Linked DNA regions of Xenopus tropicalis. Each later gene encodes a partner of the first gene's protein in a complex. Links are inferred from orthologs where the notes say so. Each region holds a gene or a part of one and is shown in the gene's direction. Other genes may lie near its edges. The genes, in order: snrnp40, sf3b5, rbm48, lsm2, lsm6, bcas2 and snrpd3.

Region 1 (4,281 bases):
CCTTAATGCCTGCCATAGTTTCTCATAAGCAAAGAATTAATCCTTCATGCTCCACTACATCTCTTAATAAGTGTCTCTACTCAGAGGTGACCCTTATATAGACCAATGTCCACACCTTAATAAATGACTGCACTTATTACCCTCCCATTCATGTGAATAAGTTTCCAACCTTCTTAGATGTTAAGACAGGACAAAGAACTCATTCTTCTTGTGTCTCAATGTGTGGCACTCAATCTCTTTAGCTGCTAATATTTTATTTATTGCACTGTAATATAAAAGTATTGTAAAAAAAAAAAAAAAAAAAAAAACAATTGCATATAAAATTAGAGTCACATAAAGATATATATACAAATATGTATATTTCGTAAGTCTCTGAATAATGAGATAAATACGCATAACATAGGGCAGGGACACTTTCATTCTTTTTCACTGCAGGTTCAAACCCATACACTGTGTAACTGGGTCACTGTGACAATAGATTTGTAATACCTTATAGTAATCATGGCTGCTACAACACATAGGGCTAAGGAAGTCACCCGAAGTTTCCTCTTAAGGCAACTTAAGGCGACTTCAGAAAATCGTAGTGACGCATATGCCATCCCACCGGCGATTTACATTCCTGCTGGTGGGATGGCATAGCAGGGAGATTAGTTGCCCGCAGCAACAAAGAATTGCTGCGGGGCGACTAATATACCCGTCTGTCACCTCTCTAAATTTACAAATACGCTTGTAAATGTGGCTCTATGTGCAGAATAACATATGGCCTTAATCCTTAGCCTATTTACTAGCGTATAAGCCAATATCACCAGTGATGTTGCACATAGCAAACAATCAGCAATTAAGAGTTTAGCAGTCACCTAAAAGTTAGAAATCCAAAGCAAAGATCTGATTGGTTGCTAAGGGCCACATCACCACCAATGATGTCGACTTACACACTATAATAGATATGCTCCATATAGAAGAGAAAGTGAAGGCATGTCCAGCCTATGAATCCTTCAGTGTGCGCTAACAGCATGTAAGGCACCTAAAGCCAACAGCCCCTTTTACTGGAGTAGACAAAATTACATGTGATGTGCCTAAAAAAATTGAATCACCTGCAGAGAAATATCAAGCTGCGTTAATAATGGTTTATGTAATAGCCTATTAATCTTCTTCTAACTGACTTGTTATATATTTTACCTTTGATGGGCCGCCATTTCGCTGTCTCCTCCCCGGCCGATCACATTTAACCAATTACAACAACTTCTACGTCATTTTCTCTTTCTCCTGTATCAGCCCAGTTGCTTAAACATCCTTATACGCGCAACCCCGCCCATCGTACGTCATTACTAATGGACAAAATCGGCGCAAGCTCTGTTCCGCCCCTTAAAGGCTTTCAAGGTCACATGATTGTCTTAGAGCCAATCACCACTATAATCTTTATCAGGTAGTGACTGCGCAGGATAATTGCGTGAGCATCCTGCGCTGCTGAGTGGGAACGCAAGCGAGTCTTACAGTGTGGCTGGGTTTGTGAGTGTTAGACAAGCTGGAAGGAGTTCTTGGAAACATGATCGAGCAAAACAAGCGGAAGGGAATGGAGTTGGTGCCGGTACAGGCAAAAAAACCGAGGAACGAGTTGGTGGTTTCGGTAAGAATGAAGAATTTGAATGAAATGGTTGGCTTGGATAAGTGTAACCATTCATTCCTTGGGCATATTTGACTTGGACTTTAGGTAAAATTATAGACATAATCTAAATCGTACCATTATTTCCTTTATTAAAAGATTTAGACGGTATAAGAATAAGCTAAAAAGTGTAATCATAAGGCTCTAACGTCTGAACATAGGTAGGGGTATAATTACTTATAGTATTGACTCGTCTTGTGCACCCCACACAGCCATTAAGGACCTTGTGATTACACTTTGCTACGCTAATGGGTTGTGGTTTTTCGTTTATGGGACTTTCTAGTTGTTTTAATGAAGGTAATCAAGTTAAAGTTTTCTTTTTTAAAAAAAAAACTTTATTTCCAAAAGTTATAAATAGTAAATAAAAAGCTAGTATTTTTACTGCTATGGGACTTTCTCTTAACCCATTTTCATGCCTTTTTTCTGAAAGGGGTAGTTCAGTTTTAAAATGTCCTTTAGTATAGTGTAGACAGCATGACCTTAGTCTGTATATCTGTTTCTCATGTTTTAGTTTGATTATTTCTTCTGCGCCTCTAAGGTTTGTTTGTTTAGACCTCAATTCTCCTAGCAACCAAGAAGTAGATTGGAACTCAAAATGGCAAATAATTAGGGAAGGATCTCAATAGACTGATAAACAATAGGCAATATAACAATAATACTAAAACTGAATTTTAAGGGGAGAAAATATGCCAAAGAGTAGTTAAAAGAATACTGACGTGGAACGTGTCAGTATTACTGACAATGCAGCACTTGGTTGGGCTTCCCCCAGCCCAAACACACTTACCCCATCCCAACACTACTACACGCAGAATGTTACTTTAACGAGTTGTCTGTCAGTCACACTGGCCTCCATGCAATCCTTCCAACGGCTGGAGTACAGTTTACATTTGTATTCCTGCCTATAGAATGATGGCACCACCCACAGCCCGCATGTCTGCAGGGAGCATCTCTTTATCCAGACTGCTGGCTTAAAGGAACAGTAACATCAAAAAATTAAAGTGTTTTAAAGTAATTAAAATATAATGTGCTGTTGCTCTGCAAAAAACTGGTGTTTTTGCTACAGAAAAGCTACTATATAAATAAGCTGCTGTGTAACCATGGGGGCAGCCTTTCAAGCTTGAAAAAAGGAGAAAAGGCACAGGTTATGTAGCAGATAACTAGTAGATCAGCCCCATATAATGGGGGTTTATCTGTTATCTGCTAAGTAACCTGTGCCTTTTCTCCTTTGAATGGTTGCCCCCATGGCTACACAGCAACTTACTTATATAAACTATAGTAGTCTTTCTGAGGGAAACACACCAGTTGTAGCAATGCAGGGCAACAGTACATTATATTGTAATTACTTTTATACACTTTCATTTTTTGGTGTTACTGTTCCTTTAACTCTGCCTGTGGTAAGTGTGACTGGGCTGGAGGAGATTTGGGGTAAATCTTCAATAAAAGCAGTAGTGTTGTGCTGCATTATGGGTAATACTGACAAGTTCCTTACTGTTATAGGAATGTGTCAGTGCCCCTTTAAAATAGAATAGAAATGGTAATTTATAGAATACTAAAAATTTAAGGTGAATAAAATATTTCTTTAGGTAATAAATGGAACTGAATCTACTTTGATGTTTAATTCTCTGAACTTGTTGACTGCAGGGTCCCCCAAGATCATCCAGTCTTCAGGCTCCCATCATGCTGCTTTCTGGTCATGAAGGAGAAGTTTATTGCTGCAAATTTCATCCCAATGGTGTAACTTTGTCTTCTGCAGGATTTGACAGACTTATCTGTAAGCAACTTTCACTTGTTTTATACGCTTTGTATTTTGCAGCTGTTTGACTTAGTAGCAGATGTTGTTTTTCATCTGTAGAATCACACAATTAATTGGCCATCTATACGTTACTAATTAAGGATTAATCTGCACCTCCTGTAATTTTGTTATGCTTTTTAGCTCCTTTTTAGCACATTATCACACTATACAAGCTGTAACATTAATTATGAATGTTACAACTGATCAGATTAAGAAAGTTATGCAGGTATGTGTTATTTTATTTTTTCTTTTCTTGTAATATTTAATCAAATTAAATAAGCTACCATGTTTTGGCAGGTTTGCCCAGCAGGTAACTTATTCTATTAAACAAAGCAAGTAAATTTAGCAGCACACATGAACTTCTTTGTAGGTATTTAACTGATTTGCAAGAAAACTGACACCGTCTGAATCTGGAATTTACAAGGAATATGAAACCATTTAAACTTTAGTTTTATGCTGCATTGTACATTAATAACAATTAGAATTTGAATCCAAAAATGAAGCTATGTATTTTACCCTTAAATTGTGAAGTTATTGAGTGAGTTTATTTTGACTTGCCTTGTAGTGCTATGGAATGTATATGGCGACTGTGACAATTATGCAACTTTGAAAGGACATAGTGGAGCAGTGATGGAGCTTCATTACAATACAGACGGGAGGTAGGTAATTGTCTGGTCTGGGGCTTATGTAGTCATTTTTGTTTTACGGGTACTGAAAACTATCCTGTGTATTACACATTGGTGGTACTAAATTATGCATACTAATTTCTGTAAAATTGCAAAGACCAGGATGCCAGACACTGTAATATCTTTGGTTTATGCCTGAT
Region 2 (2,558 bases), on another chromosome or scaffold:
TGTATTTTTAGTCATTTTGAAACAGTAAATCTCAGAAAAGGCGCAACTTTAATTTCTGCAAATTTTAGCAGAACTCTTTACTGTTGAGCTATTTTCCTCAGATTTTAAGGTAATTTTTTTTCTCCTTTTCCTTTCCTTTTTCTTTTTTTTATTTTATTACTTTATTTAGTTTGTTAACAATATTGCTTGCCTACTTTCCACTTGTGCAATTTAAAGGACATGTAAACCATACATTTTCCTACCATATATATATAAGTTGGGCACCCAAACAACTCCATTTGTACTGCATATATCCCCTGTGTTTGTCAGCACCATTACATATCCCTAAAGCAAATAGTGTCTTTTACCTGGCAGCCATTTTCCTTCTGACATCATCAGTGACATTTACATCTGCAAACAGCTCATGTGCACTACAAAGTTCATGCAATGAAGAATGCTGCCTTACGCAGGCACAACTTACTTTGATCAAACGCACAAATTTCCCCCATGTGTAACAGACCTAAAATGATTCAACAAGCTTGAATTACTTTAAAGCACATTTATTACCTACTTCAGTTCTAACTTTTTCTTTCAAGCAAAAATAATTTTTCTTTAATAGATCTTTGCTTGTTACAAGAGGAATATACTGATAGGTCAATTTAACCCTTCGGTGTTTAACCCTGTGAAAAGCCTCTCCAAGTTATTATGTGCCAGAAATGCCCTTATACTGCCAAAGTTTACATGTCTAAAATGGGTAGTGTCTTAGTTGCTCCCTTAGGGCTCTAACATCACTTTAATGTATGCATTTACAAACACATGCTGAATGCAAAAAATTAAAAACTGTGCGCACAAAATATTTTTTGTGTACATAACTGAGAAGAAATTAGAGGGGACATTGAACCCTTGCCTTTATATAACTTTAATAAATCGCAAGACTGTGTGCTAAAATCACGGATATTATCACTTTAAAGGTAAAGGTTGGAAGGCGAGTAATCTATATGCCGCTGGGTATTGTTTCATGTGTTAACATGTTGCGGAGGTTACTATTCAAAAAATGGTTTATTCCTATAGAATTGACCCAACTGCAACCACTTTATATTTTTCCATACAGCTTTCCGCCTGTTCTCTCCCTGTGTCCCACAACTGAGCATGCAGGGAGTTTCGATTTCGCTTGAAATAGGCGGGCCAATCGCTGAAGCGAAAATGAGCAAAACACTACAAAATTACGAAACTTTATTTATTTTAGTCGGCGTCGATATATTGGTCACTCCCGGAAGCAACGTAACTTCCGGCTGCTGTAACACGCTGACTTCTTTTGTCCTCCGGAAGCCAAAGGCGCTACCGCTGCATATCATAACACCAAGTCGTGTACAGTGAGCTTGCTGTTAGCGCTTGCCATCGCCATGACAGACCGATATACTATTCACAGCCAACTGGAGCATCTGCAGTCCAAGTATATCGGCACGGGCCATGCGGATACTACTAAGTGGGAGTGGCTGGTGAACCAGCACAGAGACTCTTACTGCTCCTACATGGGCCACTTTGATCTGCTCAATTACTTTGCCGTGGCTGAGAACGAAAGTAAAGCACGGGTACGTTTTAACCTGATGGAGAAGATGCTGCAGCCGTGTGGGCCCCCAGCTGATAAGCCCGACGACTCTTAAGCGTGGCGATGGTTTCTTCTCTGAGGCTGCCTGTTATGGAGTTCTTGGAGTCGATCAAACTTATCGCCGTTCGTCTTAAAGTTTCCGGGACTTAAGCAAGAGATTCCCGCCTAATCAACAGGCGTGTATCATAAAGCAGGACTGTGCTAATTCTAAATGGAGTTTCTGAATTCCAGGAGTCCGTGATAAAGTACTTTGAGGACGTTTGTGCATTTGCCTGAAGTCTCTTCGAAATCCTTGTACGACTAATCTAGGCTTTTCTTTCAACTGCTTATCACTTGTAATAAAACAATCAACTCTTGTTGAATCCTTGTACAACATACCCTTGTTAGTTTTTTAATTGTTCACTGTGGTTCACTTATTAGATTAATAAGTATGTAAAATGTTATTGTCAGGGTGCTATGTTTGGTGTTCTTGAAGAGAATCTAGCTGCCCATCCCCCCCCCCACCCAAAAAAAAAAAAAAAACTGGAAAAGGTAAACGTAGTCAGGGTGCTTTTAGTAGCCAGCAACCCTAGGGTCAGTTGCAATTAGGCTTCATAATTGTTTTTTTTTATATAGCTTTTTGTTGAGTTGCTTTCAGTTTTCATATTCTTACATCTATCTGGTTGCTATTATTTACCCTAGGCAGTGGTTTGAACTGGAATATGAATAGGAGAAAGCCTGCATAGACAGGGGAAAAAAAACCAACCATTGCCACACAGATCAATGGTTTTTGTCTGGCAGTGTTAGTGACCCCATTTTAAAGACGGAAAGAGGCAGAAGAGAAAAGCATGTAATTTAAAAAAAAAAAAAATATGAAAATCAATTGCAAAGTTGCTGGGAATAGGGCATTTAATACCATACTAAAAGTTAATTTAATGGTAAACCACCACTTAAATACCCTACATTTAAAACTGTGACTGGAAGACACTGC
Region 3 (4,196 bases), on another chromosome or scaffold:
CCTTCCCAGAGGCTATTATCCCACTGCTACTATAGGCACCATCTCTCCCTACTATACCTGCTATCCCACAGCCACAGTCCCTTCCCAGAGGCTATTATCCCACTGCTACTATAGGCACCATCTCTCCCTACTATACCTGCTATCCCATAGCCACAGTCCCTTCCCAGAGGCTATTATCCCCCCACTGCTACTATAGGCACCATCTCTCCCTACTATACCTGCTATCCCACAGCCCCAGTCCCTTCCCAGAGGCTATTATCCCCCACTGCTACTATAGGCACCATCTCTCCCTACTATACCTGCTATCCCACAGCCACAGTCCCTTCCCAGAGGCTATTATCCCACTGCTACTATAGGCACCATCTCTCCCTACTATACCTGCTATCCCACAGCCACAGTCCCTTCCCAGAGGCTATTATCCCACTGCTACTATAGGCACCATCTCTCCCTACTATACCTGCTATCCCATAGCCACAGTCCCTTCCCAGAGGCTATTATCCCCCCACTGCTACTATAGGCACCATCTCTCCCTACTATACCTGCTATCCCACAGCCCCAGTCCCTTCCCAGAGGCTATTATCCCCCCACTGCTACTATAGGCACCATCTCTCCCTACTATACCTGCTATCCCACAGCCCCAGTCCCTTCCCAGAGGCTATTATCCCAGTTGATATTATTAATCCTTTTCTGACACCTACACAAATACACCTCATGTCATGTTACTAAACTCCCTCCTGCTTTCCATGTAGAATCACCTGAGAATCCCAAAGCCCTGGTTAGTGCCCGGACAGGGCCATTACAGGCATCATATTAAAATAAACAAGTGCTGCCCATCACGGACAGACGGGCCCCGGTTAGAGTTACCTGCTCCAGGCGTAATTGTGCGAGCACCTCAGGTGTCACACGCAAAAATGTGTCCTTAGCACTTGTGAGTTTCAGGGACACAGCAGCCCCGGGCGGTCCCGGACCTAGCATCCTACTGTGGCGTACCCACAGCAACCCCCTTCACTCCAGCGCTGTGTATGACGAACGTGCAAGTAACAGAACTTCCATCGCTAACGTTATCAGCTCCTTCATGCCTACTGGGTAACTTCCGCGCTGTTTCACCTTTGACAATCGAGGAAATCCCACTCACCCTGTGTCTGCTGACGTATAGTACCTCCCGCCCAATCAGAGAATGGCGTGCTCTAATGACGCCTGTGTGCGGGGCAGTCCTTCCGCCTATTGGTTCTGCTGCCTTTCCGCCTATTGGTTCTGTGTCCCGGCCTGTGTTTGGTACAGGGAGAGAGGGAACTATTTCTTAGACAGCAGAAGCCGATGGCAGAAAGCGCAGCAGTGCAAGTGCAGGCCTACGCACACCATGAGCAGCGAAAGATATGCGCCTCACGGGCCAAGTACCGCGAAGGACGGAGGCCCAGAGCAGTCAAAGTGCGTGAAACATTTACAGTTTTTGTTTTGGTTTTTATACGTCCACACAACTAGTATTCCAGCGTATTCTTGCGGTGGGACTGAGCGCCAGTGCCGCTCTAGCAGGTTTCCCTTCGTAGAAATTGCTCCCTAGAGTTATCACTGAGTTACAGCTTCCATAAGAATGTTAGCTCTTCTATATTCATGTGGTTTTAATTGGGCACTGTGTGGGAACTGGTAATGATTTCTGTTTCTACATAGGAGCATATTGTTCCACTGAAGGAAAAAATGCTGCCTTTTTATCTGCACCCACTGATAGGGGAATAGTGTGGGAGAGGGATTAGAGTTCTAGTTCACCATTTGGAGGCAGTAGGTTTCATTATAAACTATGGGCTATTTCCCATGATTGTAATTATAGATGTCACAGACCCAGTGGCTGCAACTGATAAGGCTAAATATATGTTTATGAATAAAAAGATAATTTTGTGGTTGGGCCCAGTGGTCTCTAGTTACACCAGCAGTCATGTATACTGCAAGCCAGTGGGGTACCACAACAATTTCAATTTAGGGCCCAAAAAATATTTGTATGTTAACCTATTCTACCAAGATACATTGACATTTCTCATCAATTAGGGTCTTATTGGGCCACTTCCATTCCTGGGCCACTTCCATTCCTGGGCCACTTCCATTCCTGGGCCCCCTTCCAACTGCAGGGTCTGCCCTAGCACACACTCCAGTTTCCCTTTCCTTGCCCTGTAACATTACATCATTTCACTCTGCACACATTCTCATACAACCAGCACACTTAACATGTCTGCATATAAAAAAAACACACACAAACTGATACTATTTTCTTTTAATTTCATAAAGAAGAGTATAATGCACTCAGTTACTGGGTTCACGTTAAACTGAGGGGTATATTTAAAAAAAAAAAAAAAGTTTAAATTTGACGCTTACCAAGATTGACTTGTAAGGGTCTGTTTTAAGCTTTCCATATCATGTGACAAATGTAAGATGCTGATGTGCATTTAAATTTTAAATGTTTGAGAAATAAAAAAAATTATATTTTGACCAAAAACTGAAAATGTGCCTCATCTCAGTTTTGTGCCTGTAGCCCTCGGCTATTGCACCCAGTCAGATTTATTCATATAATGCCAGAGATTCTCAGCTGGATTGAGGTCAGGCCTGTGACAGAGCCATTTGATCACTGGGATCACTGTTCTACTGAAAGATTAATGTTTATTTTTTAGCAGCCTGGAACAGGCTTTTTTTTGGTGATATTTCACTGTATTTTGCCCCATGCCTTGAAAACAATATTCCCAGTTGCTGCGTTAATTATATAACACACAAATCTGTGGTACTAATGAAGAATCAGGCTTTTGCGCAGAGAAATCTTTAGTTTAGGACTTTAAAAACTGTTGATTCCTTGCTGAATACTTGGACAGATAACCATTTGCTTTATACAGTATGGCAAACATGGCATATACAAACAGTTGTATCACTCTGGCTTGATTAAGCCATTTTACAGATGATGCAAATAGAAAAACTTTAACGTATGTTCAAGCCAAAGAAAAGTATCCAGTGCTTTCTAGCAAGTTACTGGCTTTCCTTCAAAAGCGATACCAGTAAAATTATATAGCCATCCTCCCGCCAAGAGAGCTATATCACTGGGCTTTAAACTATTATATAAGCAGAAATGAGTTGCTGGAAAGCTGCACACCATAAGAGCAAGTTAATACCTGGGTGCCAGTGCTGAAAGCGTAGATACACAGGGTTGGAATGACAGCACACGCAGGATGTTTTTCAAGAAGAATCACAGAGGTTTAGATAAATAAATGTGAGGCTTTATTCAGTCCGACGTTTCAGTTCCTATCTGGAACTTTCATCAGGGACAGTAACATCACAGTGCAGTACAAACCTTTTTAAGCACAAAAGGGCCCTAAACCTCTGTGATTCTTCTTGAAAAACATCCTGCGTGTGCTGTCATTCCAACCCTGTCTATTATATAAGCAGATAGTCTATACTTCTTCCACCAAGGGACACAACAAATGGCTTCTGAAATTTTCTCAATTACAAATGTCTCAAGGCCTTACAGTATGCAAATAAATGTCTTCCAATGGGATCATATAAAGAAATGCATCTAAAATTCTTTTTATTGAGCCTACTACTCGCCAAAAGTCAGTCCCAAATAGGACTCTCTGGAGGCAGATTTATTTAATTGTTTCTGGACATGTCCTCATAGTAAAAAGTTTTGGGTATCAATAACTTGTTATGCCATTGATAACTTGCTAGACTATGTTCCTATGTTACCAAAATGGATTATGTTCCTATGTTACCAAAATTGACAATGTTTGGTATCCCTACCAAATACTAGACTTATTGGGGGAGTAGAAAAGTACTGTTTATCATATCTGCAGCTGCTCGTAAATATATGCTACAAGTGTGGATAGAGAAACAACCCCGTCACTGTCTTTTTTTAAAAGTAAATTTTATATATTCACCTATTATTTCACCTGTTTCACATGGATTGGCTAGAAGTCTCCCTCCAAAAAGAAAAACACACGAGATGAAGAAAGAAACAAATGGCAATCAGTTTTAAAATGTTTTAAGAACAATTATTTTAAAACAAGGTTACTGATCCACCAGTAGTGCTATAGATGCTATAGAAAGCGCTTTCTCTTACCATTATCCTTCCAAGTGAATGACTTCACTTTGAGAATTATAAAACTATGCTTCTTGTAGATTGTAAGCTCTTTTGGGCAGGGCTCTCTTCACCTTTTGTATCGGTT
Region 4 (4,131 bases), on another chromosome or scaffold:
GAGACATATTTGATAAATGGGGAAAACCCTAATTTTGTAGGCAATTATGAATAATATACGGTGCTGGTTTCCCTTTGGGCTAAACATTAATCCTATTTGTAAAAATGGCCCCTTTATTGGAGCTCCCTATAGATCCTCTCTCTTCTCTGACCATGTTTGAAATGAAGAGTGGGCGTGTCCTAACGGTCCCTGCAAGAAGCACAGTAGGAGGGGGAGAGCCAATCACAGACCTGCACTCACACAAGCAAAGACAGGCTTCAGTTCCCTATCAGGTCAGCCTAGCTGCTGATTGGTTCCTATCCTACAGTGCAGTGTATAGAGGGCCGCTGGCTCCCCAGCTCATCCAGAGAATTCAGCCAGCAGGAAGTGGAGCAGATGGGGGGGACTAGTGGGGTTTTGGGGGAATTTCTCAATAAATCTGTCTGAAATACAACTTTTTTAAGCACATTCCTTCTATATCTAGAGGAGTATAATTCACTGGCACATTCATAATTTTTATAGGATATGTCTCCTTTAACAGTAACTAGCCCAGGTATGGACAGCGTAACTCCTTTTAGCTATCTCGTAACCCTCATGCCTTGTACCTGGAGTTGGTAATTATTGGTCCTTAACATTACAATTGATGTTTGTTGTGCAAGAACTGATAGTTTGTGTTTGTGGGTCAGAATGCAGTTCCAGCCTCTGTAGTTACACCTGGAATCCAAAGTTGTTTAATAAACTGGTACAAGGGACATTTTCTCTGAGCAGAAGCTCAAAAAGGGCAGGAGGTGGGCAAGTGACAAACCAAAGGTTAGGGATTAAAAAAATACAAAAAAGGGATCCAAAGAACAAGGAGAGATAAATCTGATTCTTGTCTGACTGTCGCTAGTTTGGCCCTAGGTTAGAATTCTGCTGGCAGAAGAAACAATAAAATAAAAAAACATTTTAAGGTTGGACATTACAGATCTAATGTGGAGTGCCTAACCTTAATATAGTTCATTTTTATTCTACTGTTTCATAAACTAATCTATACTTTGTTACACTTAGTACCTGCTCCCAGTTTATAAAACCTGTATTTTTTTTAACGTATTTTAGTTGTTCAGGGATAAAATACGTTTAGGGGACTTCTCAAGAAAGTTACATGAAAAAAATGTTTTCTGTCCTCGCGAGATCATGATTGCGTCATCACCGTGGGACCCATTCATTCGGCCGGTGCCTGAAGCCGGCGCGCAAATTCCTGCTGCTTTAAATTCTCGCGAGATTTATGCAGAGGCGCTAGAGCGGTGAATGAGCGGAAGGCATTTGGTGTGTAGATCTGTCGTTGTCAGCGGCGTCTGTTTTGTTCTTCAGTTTCCAGATAGAGCTTGGGTGGTGCGACTGCAACAGAAGCAATGGTAACCGCTTAAGAACACTAGCGTTCCGTTACTGTTTCACGTTTTGTAGGGTAGAACCTAAGGAGTCGATAGCCATGTATTTTGTGGTGTACCAGCGTATACAGACCTGTTTGGCAATCAGTCCCCCCCCCCTATAGTCGCAAGGTCAGCTTTCTGAGTGGCCATGCCCTGCTTTGACGTTCCATGTTTTGCCTATACCAGGATTCTGGGATTTGTAGTCTTATAGCAGTGGGAGGGCTCGAATTTGGCCATCCCTGCTTTGCAACAACATTTCAATCATTTGTAACCTGATGTTAGTTGGACAGAACAACTTGTCTGTCTCTGTTATTGTTTGTGTCTTATGAGAGAACATGCTTTGCCTTGATCTGTAAAGGATCTTGGCAACATTTGTTATGTGATGTGCCTTGGGTAAGCTACAGGAGAGGCAACTGGTTTTTATAACTACTTGTTTTTATCATGTACAGCTATTCTACTCCTTCTTCAAGTCTCTTGTAGGAAAGGATGTGGTGGTAGAGCTGAAGAATGATCTGAGGTGAGTGTTTTGCCCCATGTTCTTTCTAGAATTGCTTCCCCCCCCCCCCCCCCACATGCTATACAGTCAGGCAAAAAGCTGCCACTGGTACATTTCAAGAACCTAATTTCTGTACTTTAAGGGATGTGACACACGGGGACATTAGTCGCCGCGCAACAAATCTTTCTTGTTGCGTGTCGACTAATCTCCCTGTGTGTCACAGCCCTTAAACCTAGTGCAGTGTGTGCAGTTGTGCTTTCTGCACTTGTGATGTGCCCAACACAAAAGAGGTAAGCACGGTGGGTGCAGCAGCACTTAGAGTCCCCCTGACCATTGTCAAACTTTAGAGGGCAGAGTGTATTGTGTAGACAGAATTTATAAAAACATTTTCTTGTGCTCCTGTAGACTTCACACCCTTAAATAACCACTTCTTTACCATTTAGCCATCTTTCATCCATTTAGCCTTTTGTTGCACTATTACATAAATGGTCTTATCTCTTGCAGTATCTGTGGTACTCTACACTCAGTTGATCAGGTAAGTAACTGAGCAAATATATAAATGTAGTTTATTTTCTCAGCATAATTATCAGCTCAGCCATGTTGTCACTTAAGCCTTGCAACTGAAATTGGCATAAAATCTTTCAGTGCCAGGGAAAAATGTTGGGTTGGCAAAAAAAAAATGAAAAAGTGAAAATTTTCTTTTAAATGACTTTACCATTACTGAAATTTCCACAACGCTAGGTTAAATTAAACCCTAGCAATCAGATAGCGCCTACAATTCCAAAATGGAGAGCTGCAATAAAAAAAGCTAAATTTAATTAAAGACTGCGATAATGAAGACTAGTTGCAAATTGTCTCCAATTATCACTGTCCACATCATACTAAAAGTTCATTCAAAGGTGAACAACCCCTGAAGGGACAGAGCCTTTAATAAAATGTACGCATCCTGCAGAGTATAATGTCAAACCAGGGAATATTTATTAACATAATTACTACAAGATTCTCCAAAGAGAATATTGCTCATATTTTTTTTTTTTTATACCCTAGAGGGCTTGTTTGCATAGAGGAATATCTCTGCTCTACCTGTTATCGTAGTACCTTTTCAGGTGTCTGGTGCTAAACAGTCTGTAGACCCACCTGCCCAGGGTCAAAGATGCTGTAGCACACTGATCCGTTATTGTGGTTGCATTAAGTTGCACCGACTCTTGCAATGTTTTGGGTCACTCTCAGACTGGCTGAAATGTTCCCAGTAGATGTCTGCTAATTAAGCCAATAAATCACTTTATTTAATGTGTGATCAGTGTGCTACATCATCTTTTGCATTCTGCATAGAGGAATATGTCTTGGAATAGAACTTTTGGGGGGAACTTGTGTTTTTCATTATCTCAAACAAGATTTCACTTTTTTTTTTTTTTATAGTATTTGAACATTAAGCTGACTGATATCAGTGTAACAGACCCAGAAAAATATCCACACATGGTAAGCTTTTTTTTTTTTCTTTGTATTTTTTATCTGCACCAGTAAACTAGATACTTAGCTTTTAATCCTGCTTTGAAACACTTGTTAATGTAATTATTTAAAAAATTTTTTTTTTAGTTGTCTGTAAAGAATTGTTTCATTCGGGGATCTGTGGTCCGCTATGTACAGCTCCCTGCTGATGAAGTAGACACTCAGCTTCTCCAGGACGCTGCACGGAAAGAAGCTGTACAGCAAAAGCAGTGATGTACAAGAGCTAGAAGGATGGAAGCAGGTTCACAAGCAGCACTAGGTGTTGTCAACTGCCTATATTTCTATAAGGCCAAATATAGGAGTGAGCAGCAACTTGTTACCTGTTATACAGGTTTTGCATTACATTTCTGTAAGAGACCCACACTTTTTTTTCTCATCCTAGTTCTGGAAACTTTTTTAAGTGCAGTGACTTGTGTGTTCACTTTAGAATCCAAGCAATGCATTTTGCTCTGCAAAGAAGTGGTCTCAGATAAGCAGAGTTAATTGGGAAAGACTGCCCTAACTTTTTTTTTTTTTTACTTAAATAAATTTTGTGTTAAGTCATCAGCTCATGTTTTTTTTTTTTTTTAGTGAAGCTAGTTCCTTCTGTTTGTATCTGCCTTTCTTAATTTTGTCGTAATATGATTTTTACTGGTTTAATTTTTTTTTAATATGCGTATGGTAAATTTAACCCATACCCTGAATTTGAAAAATCAGAAATTTTCCACATTGAAGAACAGAAATTTATAACATTCTGTT
Region 5 (4,214 bases), on another chromosome or scaffold:
GCGTCTCCTCATCCCCTATGTTTGCATGGGTGGGTTCATGGCAGTTGCAGGGCAGATTCAAGTTCTGGATGTGAAAGCTAGTTACCCAGCAATTACCAAATGAATGAAAACAAAAAAAAAAAAATATTGTATAATTGTTTATAGTTATAAGCAGAGAAGACCTAAACAGCAATAAAGACAGGTATAAAGTGACAATTTAGAGGAGTGAGTGAGCTTCCCCCACACCATGCTTATAAACAATTTGCAGGATTTCCAATTTGGTGTCAGTCACTGGCCTCTTGGTGACTGCACATATATTTCTTAAGGTGCCCACACACCTTCAGATCCGCTCGCTTGGTGATGTCGCCAAGCGAGCAGATCTTCTCCCAATATCCCCCACCTACGTGTGGGCGATATGGGGAGAATCCAGGCTAATTCCCTGGGGCCAAACGATCGCATTATAAAGACGGGTATAGGTGAAGTCGTTCCAGGGACCGCATCAACGAGCTGATACGGTCCCCGATCCAACTAGATTTTTTAACCTGCCCGATCGATATCTGGCCCAATTTCAGGCCAGATATTGGTCGGGCAGGCCCATCGGTAGTGCCCATACACGGGCTGATTAGCTGCTAGAATTGGCCCGTGTACAGGGACCATTAGGTGCCATGACATTCACCACTTTAATAAGGATATTTGCAAATACATGGTGTACAGCAGGTAATGAATCAGTAAAGATTTCAGATGAATAATACCAGGCTCCAATTGAATAATGTCATGCCACACACAGCTTATCAGTATTAGTAATCATTTTTGATGCTAGTGACATTTTGTGTGGCTGATTAAAGTAAACTGACCCTTCAATCAGAAAGGATTATATGGGAAGTTTCAGAAAATCAAAGTAGCTTACCATAAGTAAAGTGCATGTGCCTGTATAAAATAGATACAAAAATAAATATATGTAAAATAAAAATACGTATACATTTGCGTCAACTCAAAGAAATGTATTACGTTTAGCAAGTAAGAGTAATGCTGAATCAGAACACGTTTTTAAAGTTGGAGGCGAGGTTTCTTTACTAGAATGACTTATAATGGCATGGTGCAGGGATTCAAAGCCATGAAACATACAGGATATCCCAGCCATTACTACATACAAGAGGTGCAGAGGAGCCACAGCGCCGCCTCTCGCCCTGATTGGACGCATCATTTCCCGTGTTAACGTCATCGTCCCCTTTTGACCCCCGGTAGGCGGTGCCTCATTCAGGAACCCGATTTACTTCCGTACGGCGCACACGGCTTTCGCTTGTTTTTGGATTGTCCTGAGACGGACACCGTAAAAAGGGGTAGGAAGGAGAGAGGCGGGAGAAAAGGCATCGCACGGGATACAGGGTGAGAATTACAGGGTGGCTTATGGCCGCCTGTAGTATTTGCATTGATGCACACCATCTAGTATGGTTAGTGCTCATTACGTTCAGAGAAAAGTAGGTAACAACAATAATTAACCTAAATGTGTGGCTCCCGCGGTGTCTATGCGAAGCGAATTCTGGGAGTTGTAGTTCATCCCAGGTGTGTGGCCGCTGCATTACATTGGGATTGTATTATGTATTGTTCAGCTATAATGTTTCGAAGTAGATTTGCTACAGGCACCCTTTTCTTGATACATATTTGTATTGCTCCCGGCAGGTGGGTATTGTAATTCCTGAGCAATATACTGATTACCAGCAGGCTGTACTAGAGGGGCTCAGTGCCAAGTACATGAGAGCTCCTCTCACAGGGGCTGTATAGATCTCCCTGCTACATCAGAGGGATGGAGCTTCTTACTTATAGATTTAGAATCATTTGTAAGTTTAAGCCCAGCTACAGTGTGTCAGTGTTGGGCTCTAGCCCTAATGTATGTAAGCCCTAATATATCTATGTTATCAGTGAGCTTTTCCACTTAATATTTTATTCTGGCAGTAACCAACATGCTTGAGGCTGTCACTGACAGATTTCCTCTGCTCTAATTGGCTGATACCAGCATGAGTCACATTTGTATCAGACTGCTGACAGACACCATGGTGGATATGTTTGTACAGGTATGGGATCCTTTATCCGGAGACCCATTATCCAGAAAGCTCCGAATTACGGAAAGCCCCTCTCCCATAGACTCCATTTTAATCAAATAATTCAGATTTTTTAAATTGATTCCCTTTTTCTCTGTAATAATAAAACAGTACCTTGTATTTGATCCCAACTAAGATATAATTAATCCTTATTGGATACAAAACAATCCTATTGGGTTTAATTAATGTTTTATTGTTTTTTTAAGTAGACTTAAGGTATGAAGATCCACGTTACAGAAAGACCCCTTATCCGGAATACCCTTGGTCGCTAGCATTCTGGATAACTGGTCCTATACCTGTAGTAGGAAACGTTTAGGCTGAGGAAGCACAGTATTTCTTAGAAATGATAAGAGACACTGAATAAAAACCTTTGATAAATACAATAATATATCAGGGAATTTGAGGACTGTGGAGTCGGTACATAAATCCTCGGAACAGTAACACAAAAAATGAAAGCATATAAAAGTAATTAAAATATAATGTACTAGTGCCCTACACTGGTAAACATTGTGTGTTTCCTTCAGAAACCCGAATATAGTTTATATAAACAAAGCTGCTGTGTAACCATGGGGGTAGCTGTACAAATTGAAAATAAGAAGAAAAGACACAGGTTACATAGCAGATAACAGATAAATTGTGTAGATTACCATTGTACCATTCTAAAGCGTGCATCTGTTATGTAACCTGTGCCTTTTCTCCTTTTTTCTAGCTTGAATGGCTGCCCCCATGGCTACACAACAGCTTATTTATATAAACTATATAGTCTTACTGAAGCAAACATGAAACTTTTACCAACACAGAAATACCCAATCTTAACCCGCCTGCTCCCAACCCTACCCGACCCAGCTTCTTCCCTTTATTTATAGACCTACTCCCGACCCTCCCCGCAATGACATCACGAAGGGGTGGGGCATGTCGGGCGCGCACCTATAAATTCCCAAGCTGGAATCGGAATATCAGCATTGTTAGGTCTCGGTCATGGAGGCTGACCGGAAGCACTCAACCCGAAGCCCACCCGCGACCCGCAGGTGATGTGCCAAGGTCGGCCTGACCTGCAGGTATTGGGCCAGCCCGCACATCAATAGTGCCCACTCCTTATTCTGCTGTAGACACTGAGGAATACAGAGCCTCCAGTTAGCTGTGATTTAACCCTGTTTTAACTGCTTTGTCTTCTGATTTTTTAGAACACATCTCTTATAGTGCTTTCCTGGCTTTCCTTTTAAAGGCTAGTTAAGACGAAGATATTTCTAACCAACTGCAGGCGAATGGATTGTCATTGCTGTTGGTTAAATTTGGTGGAATAGTTTAATAGAAAACTAAAGTTTAACATTTCTAGCCTGCTTCTTTTAGAGTTTAGTGTTTGTAGAGTTTATATTCTTTAAAATAGGACTTATACTCCACAATGTTTGCTGTGAATTCTGGACCAAAGCGGCAGTCTATTTGTATACCATATCATAGTGCAGATTTGCCAGTTCTAATGCACTAATCTGTGCTGTTAAATCATCAAACTGACAATAATGACCAACTGCAACTGATATAAAAATGCTGGTCTGAAAATGTGAATAATATATAATATCTGTAAAGCACTGAGGAATATGTTGGCACTATATAACAATAAGAGAATTATTTTGTCTTGAAACCTTTCTTTACAGTGAAAGGGAATTAGAATGAGCCTGCGCAAACAAACACCGAGTGACTTCTTAAAGCAGATTATTGGAAGACCAGTGGTTGTAAAGCTCAACTCTGGAGTCGATTATCGAGGTAAAGCTTAAAGTAAAAGGCAACCTGAATTCCTTTTATATCTATCTTTTATCAACATTTGGAATGAGGATTATGAAAAATGTATTTTTACAAATTCATTCTGGCTCTGTTTCATGTCCATGTTATAATACGTATTTTCCCTCACTTCAAAGTTTGCACATTCCAAAGCAATACATTTTCCCACAGATGCTGCTTAAATTTAAATATGCAAATCAGGGTTACGTTTGGGTCGTATTCTTCCTAAATGGGCGCAAGAACTTAATTATCATTGGCCTCTTTATTTAGTATTAATAGGTAGAGCTCTTTTGCCAGCCATGTGCAACAAATTTATACCCAGAACTGCTGCCCTTTTACTTTTCCAGGTGCCAGTTAACT
Region 6 (3,995 bases), on another chromosome or scaffold:
CATGACTCCCATTGGGGGCATTTCTACTGTAAATACCCGGTCTGTGCTGCCCCTGTGTGTCACATGACTCCCATTGGGGGCATTTCTACTGTAAATAACCGGTCTGTGCTGCCCCTGTGTGTCACATGACTCCCATTGGGGGCATTTCTACTGTAAATACCCGGTCTGTGTTGCCCCTGTGTGTCACATGACTCCCATTGGGGGCATTTCTACTGTAAATACCCGGTCTGTGCTGCCCCTGTGTGTCACATGACTCCCATTGGGGGCATTTCTACTGTAAATAACCGGTCTGTGCTGCCCCTGTGTGTCACATGACTCCCATTGGGGGCATTTCTACTGTAAATACCCGGTCAGTGCTGCCCCTGTGTGTCACATGACTCCCATTGGGGGCATTTCTACTGTAAATACCCGGTCAATGCTGCCCCTGTGTGTCACATGACTCCCATTGGGGGCATTTCTACTGTAAATAACCGGTCTGTGTTGCCCCTGTGTGTCACATGACTCCCATTGGGGGCATTTCTACTGTAAATAACCGGTCAGTGCGGCCCCTGTGTGTCACATGACTCCCATTGGGGGCATTTCTACTGTAAATACCCGGTCAGTGCTGCCCCTGTGTGTCACATGACTCCCATTGGGGGCATTTCTACTGTAAATACCCGGTCTGTGCTGCCCCTGTGTGTCACATGACTCCCATTGGGGGCATTTCTACTGTAAATAACCGGTCAGTGCTGCCCCTGTGTGTCACATGACTCCCATTGGGGGCATTTCTACTGTAAATACCCGGTCAGTGCTGCCCCTGTGTGTCACATGACTCCCATTGGGGGCATTTCTACTGTAAATACCCGGTCTGTGTTGCCCCTGTGTGTCACATGACTCCCATTGGGGGCATTTCTACTGTAAATACCCGGTCTGTGCTGCCCCTGTGTGTCACATGACTCCCATTGGGGGCATTTCTACTGTAAATAACCGGTCTGTGTTGCTCTCAGGCTGCAGCTTTGGTGGAAGAGGAGACCAGAAGATATCGGCCTACAAAGAACTACCTGAGTTACTTGCCCACCCCCGACTATTCCGCATTTGAGGTAATGGCTTTCTCCCTATTCTGCAGCACCCTACACTGGGTGCCCCTCTGCTCTATTCACGGTGGTTGCACATTGGCCAACCAAATGGCTTCCCTGCTAGAGAACTCACCCTGGCAACTAAGAACCTATTGCTCTGTGAGGCTTCAATTTTATTGTTACTGTTACTTTTTATCCAGCCCCTCCCCTATACTCATTCACACCACTGTCTGGTTGCTAGGGTAAATTTGACCCTAGCAACTTGATATCTCTGCAAAATATTAATACTTCATTATTCATTCTGCTACTACTCGTCCTTATGTCTGTCAGTTCTCCAAAGATTGCTTTCATAGTCCCATAACCCCGAGGGGTTTGCATGCACAGAGCCCACCCTGGCACCTACTGGTGCTAATATCACGTGGGTGGGGGGCATGTTCCCTTCACAGAGGAGACCAAGATTCCAACTTTCATTCATTTTATTTAGACTGAAATCATGAGGAACGAGTTTGAAAGACTTTCGTCGCGCCAGCCCCTCGAACTGCTCAGCATGAAGAGGTGAGTGCCGTCTGGTTACTATGGGTTACTGGACCAAGATCTGTGCATTGCTTTACAGCCCTGTGGTTTCCATGTGGTCTCATTGTGCTGAAGGGTATCCGTGGAAATACCATACCCCTCTCTCTGATTCTAGGTATGAGTTACCGGCCCCCCTATCCGGCCAGAGGAACGACATCACCGCGTGGCAGGAATGTGTCAATAACTCCATGGCCCAATTGGAACACCAGGCCGTCCGTATAGAGAACCTGGAGCTCATGTCCCAGCACGGCTGTAACGCCTGGAAAGTCTATAACGAGTGAGTTGGGAACATGGCGTTGGGGGGGGGGGGGGGGGGGGGTGTTGATTTACAGCACAGGATATAGCATGACCCAATGATACTGCCGCCCTTCAGTCACGTGATTCTTCTGTCTCCTCCCAGGAACCTGCTGCATATGATCGACTGCGCGCAGAAAGATCTCCAGAAGTTACGGTGAGACGGCATTAAGCCCATACTAACCATATATATATATATATATATATATATATATATATATAATCCTTCCCTGGCCGTGGGGAAGAGAGCAGCCCAGAAGCAGGAAGTGCAGAGATTTAGAGCTCAGTTCCTGTGTAATTACTGGGATGAGCTTCGAGTTACCTACGTGGGGTAGTTCCTAGCCCTGGGGTATTACTAGCAGTTGCACACTTCCATTTTAACAGCTCTAACGCTTTCACTATTTGTCTTGTTACCGGAACAGGAAAAAGATTCAGGACTTGAACTGGCAGAGAAAGAACTCCCAGCTGACAGCAGGTGCCCGACTCAGAGAGATGGAGTCAACGTAAGTGAGATTTGTGCATTTTGTTCACACCTAGGGTGAACTTATCAAGGGAATACCTACTCCCCTATACTGTATTTCCATGAATGAAGTACACACAGGCTTTGAGTGTGCCTAGCGGGCTGTTCCTGCTGAACAGGGGAATCCCTATGCTGCCATAGTTTTATGGTATCTCTCTGTACAGGCTATGAGCAAACTTAGGGGGCTGTTCCTGCTGAATTGTGCTTAGTACAGGGGAATCCCTATGTGCCATAGTTTTATGGTATCTCTCTGTACAGGCTATTAGCAAACTTAGGGGGCTGTTCCTGCTGAATTGTGCTTAGTACAGGGGAATCCCTATGTGCCATAGTTTTATGGTATCTCTCTGTACAGGCTATGAGCAAACTTAGGGGGCTGTTCCTGCTGAATTGTGCTTAGTACAGTGTATGGTATTTATGGGATGCTAATATTTTAGCTTTAATAGAACTGGTAGTCATTTTCGTCTGTCTCTAACTTGCTTTCTGTGCCGGTTGCAGGTGGGTGTCTCTTGTGAGCAAAAACTACGAGATTGAGAGAGCAATTGTGCAAATGGAGAATGAAGTCTATCAGCTGAAAGAGAGGAGCGGGGAGAATAAGGAAAATATTGAAGATTATTAAGGCCCTGCCCCAAGGATTACAGGTTCCAGGGTAACAGCACCGGTCCTGCTGCAGAGACTCTGGCGCCATGTTGGGCAGCGCTGCTGGGGGTTCTGGTTGCTTTATGGCTCTTCACTCTGGAAATGTAGCGAGTAGTCTCTGCCTGGGTGCTGATAGGCGCAGGGATGGGTCTCCCTGTTTCACCCAAATGCCCCAGTGCTGCCTCGTAGGCCGGGCACATACCGGCTTTTATAAGGAAATTCTGACTTGTTTTTCACTGTAATATTAATAATAAAGTGTTTTCCAGAAATCTTCCACTTTTATCATCCTGTGCGCTCCTGGGGGTCTGTACTGAGCACCCCACACAACCGTAACCCTGGCCTGGGTGGGGGCACACCATTATATATTAGATAGCACCCCCGTCTCTGCACAAGTGCCTGATCTCACCAGAGGGAAATAGGTATGTTCTGAGCTGGGACGGATTTCCCACATGGGCAGCTTCGACAGATAACGGGTCATGTGTGTAACAGTGAGAGGAAATCAGCGTAAAAACCAATGAACTGTCTTCTATAGGCCATAGAGATACAGTGGGAAAGCCTGGCATTGCCCTTCCTCCTGGGTCTCATCTGTTTTTACAATGTTAATATCATGAAGGTGTAACAGGAGCGCCCCCTGCTGTTCTGTGCAGGCGGAGACACAAGCAGCACTGAGCCCAGAGACACTTCCAGCATCAGCAAATGAAACTTTTCCCCTATCTGTCTGGCTCTGACTTGGTGTGAATACTGCAAATAGCATGGAAACTAAAGAAGTAGGGCAGAAATGCTGTACATTATGTTTTGGGCTTCTGTACCAGCCACACAGCCCTTCAGCAGGGAAGATCTGTGCCAGTAAAGATGCCCCAGTAGCCCCCATCTTCTCTTCTGCCAATTCACTGCACATACTCTGTGCTGCTGACACA
Region 7 (4,196 bases), on another chromosome or scaffold:
AGTCCTGTATGTGCACATACATACATTCATGGTAGAATGGGGGGTGAATCTACATTTTACAGCAGTGAGCAGGGGTACATTTTTGTGCACAGATGCCATTTTGTCCATTTTACTTAATGTTGCATGTGCTTTCTGGCAGTTCAGAAACAATGCATTCAGCAGATATATAAACAAAATAAGCCTGATCATTCTGGGCCCATACATATGCCAGCGGTCTGCCAATTCAGTTAATAAAGTCAGAATCAGCACCTATTAAAAGCGCAGACTAAAAGAAACAGTCTGATCAGGTGCGGACTGGAAATGGGGCCTTGGCATTTAATTATACGCGGATACCCAAATAGCCCCCTATCACCCCAATAAATAGTGTCTGTGACATCTTACAGCAGCCCTTCTGGCATTTATCACAATCCACAGATTGCACGTCTGAGTCTAATTGGAGGTTTCAGCTCAAGATATTTAATAATAATTCATAATATATAATATGAAAAGTTGCAGTGCAACTAGCCGCTCTTAAATGGTGTGAATAGATAAATGGGTTGATGAGCGGAACTAAGTCACTCATATCTGTTTCCCACCGGAAGTTGTTTGCTTGTGCAGTCGCCGGGAAAAGGGGGCAGAGAGATACGACAGCCTGTTTCCTTTCGCTGTGCATTGTGGGGCAGGCGGGACGCCATTAGAACGCAGAACAGAGCCACGCTAGTAAGTATTACCCAAAGCAAACAAAAGTTCGGTAAAAAGTCTGCGCTTTGCAGGATTGTCAGAGAGGCCCGGGGGTTGCAGCGTGCGGATATCTGGGCGGGGTGTGCGTCTCGGTTACTCGGCGCTTGTTCGCTTTCCCTTAGGTCTGTGCGGTTGGCAGCTTTGTATGAGTGTGAGCAGGGCTTCCCTCTAAATATTGCCTTATGGTGAGGTTATATACAGGGTGCCGGGCCCAACGCATCTCACTGTGTTACCAGTCCGTTATCCGTTTCTATAAATATTCCTGCCTTAGGCCGGGGGCACTGAAACGTTTGTGTAGGCCTCAGTGCCAGTATCCCAGGGAACTCATTCATTGAGGGTTACTCCTCTGCTTCTGCGGGTTGTGCTGCTGCGATGTCCTAACGTGCATGTGTTTCTGAAGGGCTGGGCATGTTTGTGTGCATATGTATGGCTGAATTTATAGACTGTAAGTGATTAAAGCTTTAGGCTGGATAAACATTATGTAATAAGGATTTTTATTTGAATATACCTTATAGTTTGCACATGGCTGCATTGTATGCAGTAACCTGCGTTGCGCTTTGTATGTTCTCCACGTTTTTTTGCTAATTTTTATTTCTCCAATTGCAGGTTAATCTCCATTAGCTCTCAATATGTCTATCGGTGTACCAATTAAAGTCCTTCATGAGGCAGAAGGCCACATTGTGACATGTGAAACTAACACCGGAGAGGTATACAGGGGGAAATTGATTGAAGCAGAGGATAACATGAACTGCCAAGTAAGTAAAATAAGCAAGTCATTCGTATTATATCTATAGCAAGTGCACCTAAACTTATAAATATTTACCTTATGCCATGTTTGTAAGTACGTTGGTGATTGCAGTATAAACTCTAGTGATAGACCTTATGGACCAACAATTGTAAAGGCTGTGTTAAACTAAAAATGTGTGTGTGAATTGTTAGGGGCAAAGTATTTTCCAAAAGGCACCTATTTATTCCCTATATAGTGCCTCGGTTACCCTATCCATTGCAAAAGAAGCAGTTATATTGTGGTCAGAAGCGTAAATAGCTTAAAGGAGACATGGAAAAATAGGGGAAAAAAAAACCTAATTTTGTAGACAATTATGAACAATATATGCTGCGGGTTTCATTTGGGCTAAAAAATACTCATCTGTAAATATGGCCTCTTTATTGGAGCTCCCTGTAGATCCTATCAGTTCTCTGTCCCTGTTTAAAATGAAGGGTGGGCGTGTCCTAACGGTCCCTGCCAGAAGCACAGTAGGAGGGGGGAAGGCAATCACAGCCCAGCACTCACACAAGCAGAGACAGGCTTCAGTTCCCTATCAGGTCATCCTAGCTGCTGATTGGTTCCTATCCAGCCAGCAGGAAGTGGAACAGATGGGCGGGACTATTAGGGTTTTGGTGGAATTTCTCAATAAAACAGTCCAAAAAACAATTTTTTTTAAACCACAGTCCTTCTATATCTAGAGGAGTATAATTTACTGGTACATTCTTAATTTTTATACAATGTCTCCTTTAATCCTAATCTATTTCAATTTCCTAGCTGTGTCTCTAGATGTCAGTATATTCACAGTAAAGCTCAGTGATAAGGAGCAGAAGTAAAATATGTAAATGCTGTTGTTGCTATGCACTTTTAAACTGTTAGTTACAGGAGCCTAGTTAGTGGGGTGTGGCTACACCCGTATTGCATTCCTGTTGTGTAATTTAAAAAATATTTAGGGTGACAATTTCCTTTTGCTCTTTTTACTAAGCACTCTTCTGTTGTTCATGTATAAACTTCTCTTTTAACATGGAGAAAAGTCTCCTTTATCTACCCACAGAAGCCAAACGGTAACATATTTTGGTGTTCCTATTCTTTTAAACTATGTAAGTGTTTCAAAGTAATCAAAATACGATGTAGTGTTACCCTGCACTGGTAGAACTGGTGTTTGCTTCAGTAACACACAGCAGCTTGGATGGCTGCCCCCACTGATACTACTATAGTTCATATAAATAAGCTGCTGTGTATCAGTGGGGGCAGCCATCCAAGCTGGGATAAACTGAGTAAGGGCTCTGGCACACGGGGGAGATTAGTCGCCCGCGATTAACTCCCTGTTCGCGGGCGACTAATCTCCCCGAGTTGCCTACCCCTGCCATCCCACCGGCGAACATGTAAGTCGCCGGCGGGATGGCAGACGCGGCGGGGCGATTTCCGGAAATCACCGAAAAAGACTTGCGAGTCTTTTTCGGCGATTTGCGCGAAATCGCGCCGCCACGTCTGCCATCCCGCCGGCGACTTACATGTTCGCCGGTGGGATGGCAGGGGTAGGCAACTCGGGGAGATTAGTCGCCCGCGAACAGGGAGTTAATCGCGGGCGACTAATCTCCCCCGTGTGCCAGAGCCCTAAAGGTGCTGGTTACATAAGCTGTATTGTATTTTACAGAGCTTATCTTTTTGTCACCTGTGCCATTCAGCCCTCTTTGTTTGAATAGCTGCCCCCATGCAGCTTTATTTCTATAGACCAGGGTTTCCCAACCTTTTGTACCTGTGAGCCACATTTAAATGTAAAAAGAGTTTGGGAGCAAATGAAGCATAAAAAATTCTTTTGGGTTGCCAAATAAGGGCTGTTATTGGCTATTTGGTAGCCCTTATGGGGACTGGAAGCCTACAGGATTGTGCTGGCAATACAGCTGGTTTTTATGCAACAGAAACTTGCCTCCTTACCAGAAATTACAAAAAATAAGCACCTGCTTAAAGTCCACTGGGAGCCACTGGTTGGGCATTACTGGTATAGACTATAGCAGTGTTTCTAAAGCATTTTAACGCAGCTGTATATTACCTTGTACAATAAATAGGTTGTTTTTGGCTATTTTAATTAAAAGGGTCCTCCAGCCAAAAACTGTTTTTGTAATGAAAAAATTTAATTCTACGCAACTTGGATATACATTAAAGGAAATTTAAAACTGCAAAGACTGGTCTTCTAAACATTCTTCTACTGTGTATGAATGTTCTTGGTGCTGTCTCCCAGGAAAAGAACATGGTTTTGGCTATTCTTTGAGCTAAACAAGGGGGAGACATGAGTGTGAAGTCAAACACGATCCCGTTAAAGCTTTATAAATATAAAACATTGTAATAGAATTCCTCACATAGTGCTGTATGTTAAGCCTGTGTCCTTTTTTCTTCCCTCCATGGATGCTTAAATTGTACTTTGACTTTCAGATGTCAAACATCACTGTAACGTACAGGGATGGCAGAGTGGCACAACTAGAACAGGTCTACATCAGAGGCAGCAAAATTCGTTTTCTCATCCTCCCAGACATGTTGAAAAATGCTCCCATGTTAAAGAGTATGAAGAATAAAAACCAGGGTTCTGGTGCCGGCAGAGGAAAAGCAGCTATTCTCAAGGCCCAAGGTAAGTTTTATTTGTGTAGGGGCAGGGTTAACAGGGTGATGTCTGTAAAATTCCATGATCATCATTAAAAGCCCTCCGTTCCCTTGG

The links.
Region 2: snrnp40 (region 1) and sf3b5 share a complex: the UniProt entries of both Homo sapiens proteins name them as parts of the minor spliceosome. The link is inferred for Xenopus tropicalis from reciprocal best matches to the Homo sapiens genes SNRNP40 and SF3B5.
Region 3: snrnp40 (region 1) and rbm48 share a complex: the UniProt entries of both Homo sapiens proteins name them as parts of the minor spliceosome. The link is inferred for Xenopus tropicalis from reciprocal best matches to the Homo sapiens genes SNRNP40 and RBM48.
Region 4: snrnp40 (region 1) and lsm2 share a complex: the UniProt entries of both Homo sapiens proteins name them as parts of the U4/U6-U5 tri-snRNP complex. The link is inferred for Xenopus tropicalis from reciprocal best matches to the Homo sapiens genes SNRNP40 and LSM2.
Region 5: snrnp40 (region 1) and lsm6 share a complex: the UniProt entries of both Homo sapiens proteins name them as parts of the U4/U6-U5 tri-snRNP complex. The link is inferred for Xenopus tropicalis from reciprocal best matches to the Homo sapiens genes SNRNP40 and LSM6.
Region 6: snrnp40 (region 1) and bcas2 share a complex: the UniProt entries of both Homo sapiens proteins name them as parts of the postcatalytic spliceosome P complex. The link is inferred for Xenopus tropicalis from reciprocal best matches to the Homo sapiens genes SNRNP40 and BCAS2.
Region 7: snrnp40 (region 1) and snrpd3 share a complex: the UniProt entries of both Homo sapiens proteins name them as parts of the U4/U6-U5 tri-snRNP complex. The link is inferred for Xenopus tropicalis from reciprocal best matches to the Homo sapiens genes SNRNP40 and SNRPD3.

Annotation. Positions count from the first base shown.
Region 1 is NC_030678.2:79,149,801-79,154,081, forward strand, and holds the start of snrnp40 (U5 small nuclear ribonucleoprotein 40 kDa protein), read left to right. Parts: upstream 1-1,474; 5' UTR 1,475-1,546; coding exon 1,547-1,627; intron 1,628-3,304; coding exon 3,305-3,434; intron 3,435-4,020; coding exon 4,021-4,114; intron 4,115-4,281. UniProt on the Homo sapiens protein: Required for pre-mRNA splicing as component of the activated spliceosome. Component of the U5 small nuclear ribonucleoprotein (snRNP) complex and the U4/U6-U5 tri-snRNP complex, building blocks of the spliceosome.
Region 2 is NC_030681.2:58,017,338-58,019,895, forward strand, and holds sf3b5 (splicing factor 3B subunit 5), read left to right. Parts: upstream 1-1,380; 5' UTR 1,381-1,382; coding exon 1,383-1,643; 3' UTR 1,644-1,958; downstream 1,959-2,558. UniProt on the Homo sapiens protein: Component of the 17S U2 SnRNP complex of the spliceosome, a large ribonucleoprotein complex that removes introns from transcribed pre-mRNAs.
Region 3 is NC_030682.2:31,762,751-31,766,946, reverse strand, and holds the start of rbm48 (RNA-binding protein 48), read left to right. Parts: upstream 1-1,202; 5' UTR 1,203-1,317; coding exon 1,318-1,428; intron 1,429-4,196. Other genes in the region: pex1 (peroxisome biogenesis factor 1), read right to left, coding at 865-975. UniProt on the Homo sapiens protein: As a component of the minor spliceosome, involved in the splicing of U12-type introns in pre-mRNAs.
Region 4 is NC_030684.2:75,102,996-75,107,126, reverse strand, and holds lsm2 (U6 snRNA-associated Sm-like protein LSm2), read left to right. Parts: upstream 1-1,232; 5' UTR 1,233-1,370; coding exon 1,371-1,373; intron 1,374-1,837; coding exon 1,838-1,905; intron 1,906-2,388; coding exon 2,389-2,419; intron 2,420-3,303; coding exon 3,304-3,363; intron 3,364-3,480; coding exon 3,481-3,606; 3' UTR 3,607-3,939; downstream 3,940-4,131. UniProt on the Homo sapiens protein: Plays a role in pre-mRNA splicing as component of the U4/U6-U5 tri-snRNP complex that is involved in spliceosome assembly, and as component of the precatalytic spliceosome (spliceosome B complex).
Region 5 is NC_030677.2:58,334,489-58,338,702, reverse strand, and holds the start of lsm6 (U6 snRNA-associated Sm-like protein LSm6), read left to right. Parts: upstream 1-1,278; 5' UTR 1,279-1,365; exon of another isoform or gene 1,366-1,542; intron 1,543-2,949; exon of another isoform or gene 2,950-3,136; intron 3,137-3,730; 5' UTR 3,731-3,745; coding exon 3,746-3,839; intron 3,840-4,214. UniProt on the Homo sapiens protein: Plays a role in pre-mRNA splicing as component of the U4/U6-U5 tri-snRNP complex that is involved in spliceosome assembly, and as component of the precatalytic spliceosome (spliceosome B complex).
Region 6 is NC_030682.2:7,012,531-7,016,525, forward strand, and holds the end of bcas2 (pre-mRNA-splicing factor SPF27), read left to right. Parts: intron 1-986; coding exon 987-1,079; intron 1,080-1,539; coding exon 1,540-1,610; intron 1,611-1,743; coding exon 1,744-1,905; intron 1,906-2,028; coding exon 2,029-2,079; intron 2,080-2,344; coding exon 2,345-2,425; intron 2,426-2,937; coding exon 2,938-3,058; 3' UTR 3,059-3,347; downstream 3,348-3,995. UniProt on the Homo sapiens protein: Required for pre-mRNA splicing as component of the activated spliceosome. Component of the PRP19-CDC5L complex that forms an integral part of the spliceosome and is required for activating pre-mRNA splicing.
Region 7 is NC_030677.2:152,605,328-152,609,523, forward strand, and holds the start of snrpd3 (small nuclear ribonucleoprotein Sm D3), read left to right. Parts: upstream 1-1,326; 5' UTR 1,327-1,349; coding exon 1,350-1,475; intron 1,476-3,916; coding exon 3,917-4,109; intron 4,110-4,196. UniProt on the Homo sapiens protein: Plays a role in pre-mRNA splicing as a core component of the spliceosomal U1, U2, U4 and U5 small nuclear ribonucleoproteins (snRNPs), the building blocks of the spliceosome.